Linked DNA regions of Arabidopsis thaliana. The protein of the gene in region 1 interacts with the protein of each later gene in a pairwise test. Each region holds a gene or a part of one and is shown on either strand. Other genes may lie near its edges.

Region 1 (3,754 bases):
GGAGATTGACCCTGCAAACATTGTTAACCAACTTTTTTCCGAAATTATTGTGAGATTCGAGGAGTTTTGACAAATGTAGGACTTTTGTCGTTCAAAAGAAATGTTTTCATCTAAAACGCGTAAACCTGTAAAAGGCAGCTTCAGCTCTGATTAAACAAAGAGACTTGCAACAATGTCACTATGAGACATTACTGTTTAAAAATAGATTCAGAAACACTAATCAGTTTTCACACTAAAACAACTTTGTCTTCTGCCTTGTTTGTTTATTCCTCTGGATGTTTCATAGATATACCTTTAACAGGGTATAGCAGTTTCAAGTTCATAGATGAAACCCTTTCGCTCACAAATATTGTTTTAAAGCCTTCTTTATGAGAGTTGGATTGGTTCACCACATAGATTCTCTAACTCCTCTTCCAGGAGTTTATGCAACTTTGCTTCAGTTCGCCGATATATCCACGCATTAGCATCACGGTCCCAGTCAAATCTAGAAGGGCCACTGCACCGAGACAAAAGGAAGAATGAAGATTACATTAATGTGAATCTAAGATGTGGAAGCACAAAGTCAAGAGCAACAACACTATACAGTCATAAACAGTTTCATTTCTCCAAATATCATGAGTACAAAAATCAGAAGAGAGAGCAGAACATGATAATCCAGATGCGAAATTCAATCTAGGCGCCTAAAGTTAGCAACTTTCAAAAGGCAAGAAAGAATCTTTACCTCACAGGTGAAGACATCCAGATTTGTCGATTTGGAGTTTGCTTATTCAGTACATAAGTGCCTAAAGATCCAAGCTTAAGGGTAAGAACTTCATTCTGTTGGAAACAGCCAAAAGGACTGACTATAATAAGTACACATAGATTTCCAGAAATATGAACAAGATCTTAAATTGCTTAAAAGAGTTTAATCCTTACCCCATAATCTATGTCGAAACCATCAATCTGAACATTATCACCATAATCCTGAACATGAATCATGCAAGTAGAACATAGTGTAAGCTATTGCAATCTCAAGTAAAACGAAGAACCCTAGAGAGAAAAAGGTTCCAGCTTCAAATACCTCAATTTTCTCAAGAAGGTGATTAATTGTGAAGTTGGCTAATTTGTGAAACTCTTCCTCCTGCAAAACCGAACTGTTTTTTTCTTCCACTTTGTTCATATTCTCATGAAATTAACGATTCAGATACAATAAAGGAGATCAAAATGGAGAATATTAAAGTACCTGTAATCGACAGAAGCAGGACCTTGAGAAGAGAAGCTTCTGGTAGTCAAAGAATCATGGCGGATTCGAGATCCTATTCTCCAGAAGGAATCCAACGGTTCTATGGAATCTTGAATCAGATTGCTTGAAACTCTTACGCCATTGCTACGGAGAAGAGTTGGAGACAGCTTGAGAAACCTCGGCAATTTCCGTAGAAGAAACCTTGAAGCTGTAGCCATGGCGGTTCTGTCACAAGAAACATTCGACGCCTCTCTTCTTCTTATTCCTTCGTTGTCCAATTTAGGCCCACAATAAGGCCCAAATTTAGATTTACCCGGTTCACGTATTTCCCATGTTCCGGTTTACTGAAACCGGTATGGTTCTCAAGAGATTTGTCATTTGTGTGCGAAGAAGAGTTTTCTTCTCCTCTCATAAGAAAAAACCAGAATTTTGAAGAAGGAGAAAGAAAAAAATCTGGGTTTTTGGGAGCTGATTAGGTTTTGTTCCTTCAATCTCTGGGAATTTTCGCTATGCACTCAGGTGAAATTCGTTTTTTCCTCTATTTCAATCTCTGTCTTCCTGCGAGTTTACGTGAGAGAATAGTTTTTAATGATCCCGAGTTCGTCGAATTACAATGCAACTCCCAGTTTTTGTAGTTTTAATTAGCGAAATTCATCAATGGCATTGGAAATTTTAAGCCTTTTTTGGTTTGTTTTATGGTACTACTAATTATTCAAGCTAAGGAATTCCAAAGTTTTCGTTCGTTTTGATTGGGTTTAGAAGTATTTGGCTGATGAGAGAAAGAGCCATAATTCTGAAATTAAACCCTTTTATGTGAAGCTTGTGTAGATGTTTTACCTGAATTTCGGAATTACTAGCAACATTTCTAAATACACAAAGCATGATTGTAAAATGAAATTGATTTTGGTCAGGGCTTTGCATCTCTTGGTTATTGAATGGTGTCCGTGTTTCACTATTATCTTCTTATGTTTTTGATTTTTATGTGCTATTTTCGATAGATTCAGGCGAAGCGACCGCTGATGGCGATAAAGCTTCTACAGAAAACAGCAAAAAACGGAAGCTTAAGACTCCTATGCAAGTTATGGCGCTTGAGAATTTCTACAATGGTAAATTATGGCTTTGTTGTTTGCATATGTTCCTTTATACCAAGTTGTATATGCTTTACAGGTGTGATTTGGTTTTTCTACAGAGCATAAGTATCCGACTGAAGAAATGAAGGGCAAGTTAGCAGAGGAAGTTGGATTAACTGAGAAGCAAGTTTCAGGTTGGTTCTGCCATAGAAGGTTAAAAGACAAACGTCATGTAAAAGAAGATGGGAATGCCATTGGGAGCCAAGATCGGTCAAGCGTTGTTCTTCAGGATCGTGGAAGTGGGCTTCGACAGGATTCATGTGGTAGTACAAAGCAAACGGATTATTGGAACCCCAAGCCTAGGGAAGTTGAAAGTCAAAGGCTTTATATGGGAAATGCTGATGGTGAAGATAGTACATCTTCTGATCGTAGCTCATCATTACGTAAGAATCTTGTCTCTAGCAAAGATGGAATTCGCGATGTGGAAAGTTCTAGATATGTTGCACATAAAGACGTTATTCAGCATCCTCAGTTCATGAGAAGCTATGGGTATAATAAGCCTTCGGGATACTTGAAAGTGAAGGGAGAGAGTGAGAATTTTGCTATCACTGCCGTAAAGAGACAATTAGGAAGACAATACCAAGAGGATGGTCCACCTCTGGGGGTTGAATTTGATCCTCTTCCTCCCGGTGCATTTGAGCCTCAGACTAATCCTATAGTTCACGGTGAGTCATGATAAAATGTTTCAACTTTACCTTTAATTTTCTGGTTTATGATGTTATGAGTATTGAGTAAGTGGCTCAGAGAAGCTAAAACCATCTTCTTCGTGTGTCAGATTGTGAATGCCTTTACCCATGTCCAGTCGGATTTGATTGCTTTTTCTATCAACTGTTTTGTCAGAGCCAATATATGTTGGGAATCAGAGACGGCCTCACCTTCCACATTTACTTGGAACGAGGAAGAGCTTTAATCCTGGTCCTGTAAGTGAACATTTTCTGTATACTACATACCCATGAAGATAATATAAACTAGAATCTTAGTCTGCCATCACATTCTTTGGCTAAATTATCTTACTTTCTTTGAAGTATTATTAATATTTTCGTTTTCTGTCTTAATGTCTTTATAGAGCTATGAATTAGCTCGTAAATCAAAGTTGCATTCGCCAGATCCAGATTCAGAGGATGATGAGCATGATGATGATGACAACATAATGGTTGGAATGGAGCCTGGTCTAAGAGATAAGAAAAGTTTTGGGGAACCAAGACTGAAATCCCCTTCTACCAGTTTCTATAATTCTGTACCTCGCCACAAATCGTTTAAAGAGACATTCAAAGGTTCACCACGGGAAATCCCTGTAACTAACAGCAAGAAGGGTTGGATAAGTTCCAAAAGTTGGGCTGAAGGGTCGAGAAACCATCTGGTTGCCAACGTCCAAAATCTTTCTGGAAGCAATATTGAAACC
Region 2 (3,754 bases), about 11 Mb from region 1:
AATGCCGCAATGAGTACACCTACATAAGACACACTCACGTTTAAAATAAGTGCAAACAAAATGTCCCACATTAGTGGAAAACAAAAATTGCAGGAACAGTTAATTGGCAGAGAAGAGAAAGAACTCACGATATTTCTGGATGGGCATCATCTTGGGCAGAATCTTGATCTGTGCCAGAGTTATAAGCCCCATCTGTCATCTTTGAAGAGGTGAATTGACCTTTATTACGTGCCATTCTGATAAACACTAACAAAGGTCAGAGAGGCAGAGAAGGTGACAAATCCTATCCCTTATTATTGAAATAGACATGTCGATTATTTCCAGTAAAAGCTACTTATCACACTAACAAAGACTCAGATGTCTATCCTGCTCAACTACAACCATATTGTCAAATACTACAGCAAGCCATGGACAATGAAGCCTACTACTCTACATAAACACCTACATGGTCACCAAACTTCTTGAAACAAATAAAAGAAAACTAGCTAGATAGTAAACTAGTTGAATATGAACAGATTTCCTTTCAATCCATAGCACACGAAAGTGAGGAAGTAGTTAAGCAACCAGAGCATAGCCAGAAGAGTAGAAAATTTTTAGTTTAGCTATACAAGAATACTAAATTTTTATCCCAGAAAAGGTGAAAGAATTTTGTTCAGAGTAACAGCTTTTGGCATAAATTGGTAAAACTCAAGACTGACACACTGACCTTAAGGCAACTTCTTGGCGAACACCGTATCTTACTTTCTTCTCGAAACATCTAGCATTCCTCTTCTTCCGAAACCTATCCAAGGATTGTGCCCGTTGCGGAAGGCTACAGCGGCTCTGATATTCTACAACAGGCTAAAAATAACACCAAACTGAAAAAGGTGGAATCGAGATGAAGTGACAATTTAAGCAGAATTTGAACACAAATAACAAAGTTACCATATGATTCTGCTGTTGAGCTAGTTCCATCACCTGCGGACCAGGAGCAAGCTCAGTAGAACCACCCAACAGCGACAACACAGCATCCACCTACGAAATCAATTTCCAAAGTTTGGTTAAGACTAGCAAAAGCACAAAGGTGCAAAAGAGGCAATCGTTACGTGCCCTAAGCCATCAGATGTTATGTTTCAGATGCATCCATCGAGACTTCACACAAATAACAAAAGAGGGACAGAGTAGAATTACCTTGTCAGCACCAACGGCATCAAAAACGTAAACTTGTCCACGGAACGAGATCGTAAGCTGATTCGCCCCTTCCGGTGGCCGAGAAACAAGTAATTCAGAGCCATCGGATCGGTGAGCAACCAATTGAGAGCCATCGGGAATCAAATCGGAGGCAGCACCATAGATAGAGTCAGGATGAGGGATTTCTTCCATATCGTCGTAAGGAATGTGACCAGACGTAGCGGAGGCAGAGACATGGTCTTCACCAGCGGAAGCAGAGGCGGTACCAATCTGGTTATTTGGGATAATCGAATGGCGACCAAACATCGGAAACTGCCAAAAGGGAGAGCTTTTTTTTCACATTGATTGAAGGATATAGAGAAAGAACAAAATAAACCCTAACCCTAAGAGCAAAGGAAGAAGGAAATAGTTGACATCGAGAAGAGCGATTACAGAGAGAGATGGTGATCGGCGCGTGTGGAGGAGGCGAGATTAGGACCGTCGTCGAATTCACCCGACGGTAAAAAAAAAAGGTGACTTTAGGTAAAATCGCAGCACTGCTTCCGAGACGACCCGACGACTCTACTTTACTGGATTTTTAACCAATCACAAATTTCTCTTCTTGTTATTCTTTTTTTTTTTTTTTTTTCTTTAAGCTAGTTTTTCACGTAAAAAAAATATCTGAGAATATTCTATGTATCTTTGATGGTCAAAGGAAAAAAAATTGGGAAATTACACGAATTTGGTTTATCAACAAAAAAAAAAGTAATGCACAAAAAGGATGAATGGTGAGTGAGTGTGTTAGGAGGTCTTGGTGTGTTGTTTAGTTGGAGTAGTGGGAATGTTGTAGAGAAGAAGACCTAGGACAAGAACTATACACCCCATCGTAAAATTTGAGCTCAAGCTTGATCCTCCCGGTAGATACGGCAATGGTTTTGACATTATGTACACCGCTAATGGCACTACAACAACACCAAAAGTATTATCTCATATGGGTTTGAGTATTTGGTGACACTTAAGAGGCGTTGCATGGAAGGATAGAAATATGGACCTGAGAGCATCATGGTAAGAGAGGAAACGATTGCTGAAGATATTTTCACCAGATGGAGCAATGAGATGTTGAAAGCGAGATTGGTGGATATATAGAGCAGTGGGAGTATAGGGGCACCATCACAGCCTGAAATTCTCAAATGGATAATCACAAAGTTTTAGCAGTGAATAAAATTCAATGAAGGAAAAAAAAACAAGTGTCGAATGGTCTCTAACCAGAAATCTTAGCTCCAGTGTTGAAGAAGCATCCGGCACCATCTTTTAGATATGAAGGAAGGCTGGCGAATGGAATGCCTTTCAAGTTTGAGAGAAAAGGCAACAACAGGAACACAAAAAGAGCCTGCACAAGCACAGCTTCAGTGATCCGTAACACTAAACCAAAAAACAAAAACTCTTCTCAAGTAGGAGAGAGATAATAAGTGAATAACAGAGGAAAGCAGCTTTCAAATGTTTTCTTCACGTACTCTTGATGTAATGGAGAAGCATGTCTAATTGTTTTGGCTGTAACAAATACATTTACAACATGATATTGTAGTAGTAGATACCTGAAATCCAGATCCAAATGAATTTACCACAAATATATCCAGTGACTTTCCCTGCATCCACCAGTTAATCTTAGAGTTAATTCAGCAAAGTTTCGAAAGAAAAGCATTCCTGTTTGATGCAGGGGATAAGGGAGATACCTCAAGACGCTTTGCAGCATCATTGAAAACAAATTCCTGTTAACAGACAAAACACTTAACAACTTGGGTCTTGGCAAAAGAAAATAAAATAGAAATGTTCACAACTCATAAGAGAGAGCGACCTTCACCTTTATGATAGATGCACCAGCTTGAAAAGCAGCGGATGCTACCAATACAGCAGGCCATAAGAAACCGATTCCAGATAGCGTAGTATCTGCACCAGATCCACTGCAGATGAGTTACAGTCAGCATTCACAAAAATGAAAGTATCACTATCACACAAGCTTCTCTAGAATCAGGGCCTTCTATTTGCTATGTGGATGATAAATACTAAAGTAGAGCCGTCTCCATTCATTTAGCATGGTGAATTTGATAGGTGTGACTCTGGTCCATGAAAACTAGTTTTCTAGATTGTAAGAGCTGAAAGCACTCTCTTGATATAATCTGTAAATGACCACGGATACACAAACATTTCTCTACCCCAAGATCAAGCATCCAGATCCAAGAAGATAAAAGTAACTTTAGAAGAAGAGAAGAGGGAGGAAGGAATACCTTGAAACAGCCACCACAACCCCCACAGCCACAAGGAGACAACCAGCAATTTGGTTAAGCAAAAACCTCCTGCCTAAAATAAGAAGAGCAAAAAGCAGCTGCCACACCAAATATGTCTGCCAAACATTGGGAGGCATGAGTTCAACACCCCCATGAGAACAAATGAGCAAGAAGATAATCATAAAACCAAAAGACCTGATTCAAAATGGGTATAACTGGTCCAGGAAGCATTGCTGCAACAGAGAGTGGAATCACTCCATATGTAACCTTATAAATATGTAAAGTTTCAATCATGCTATAAATGGGATACCTGCTGCAGC

What was found. The genes of interacting proteins can lie anywhere in the genome.
Region 2: the proteins of AT4G03250 (region 1) and ZIM interact in a two-hybrid assay, tested with the Arabidopsis thaliana proteins (one large-scale study listed by BioGRID).

The regions. Positions count from the first base shown.
Region 1 is NC_003075.7:1,423,319-1,427,072, forward strand, and holds the start of AT4G03250 (Homeodomain-like superfamily protein), read left to right. Parts: upstream 1-1,583; 5' UTR 1,584-1,731; coding exon 1,732-1,741; intron 1,742-2,220; coding exon 2,221-2,328; intron 2,329-2,411; coding exon 2,412-3,017; intron 3,018-3,192; coding exon 3,193-3,272; intron 3,273-3,418; coding exon 3,419-3,754. Other genes in the region: FH (frataxin-like protein), read right to left, coding at 367-496, 722-816, 916-963, 1,061-1,133, 1,223-1,440.
Region 2 is NC_003075.7:12,643,507-12,647,260, reverse strand, and holds the start of ZIM (GATA-type zinc finger protein with TIFY domain-containing protein), read right to left. Parts: upstream 1,698-3,754; 5' UTR 1,477-1,697; coding exon 1,171-1,476; intron 1,015-1,170; coding exon 925-1,014; intron 841-924; coding exon 707-840; intron 237-706; coding exon 129-236; intron 20-128; coding exon 1-19. Other genes in the region: CLT2 (CRT (chloroquine-resistance transporter)-like transporter 2), read right to left, coding at 1,951-2,111, 2,201-2,326, 2,416-2,539, 2,745-2,795, 2,883-2,918, 3,011-3,110, 3,435-3,550, 3,630-3,667 and 1 more. UniProt on the Arabidopsis thaliana protein: Transcriptional activator that specifically binds 5'-GATA-3' or 5'-GAT-3' motifs within gene promoters.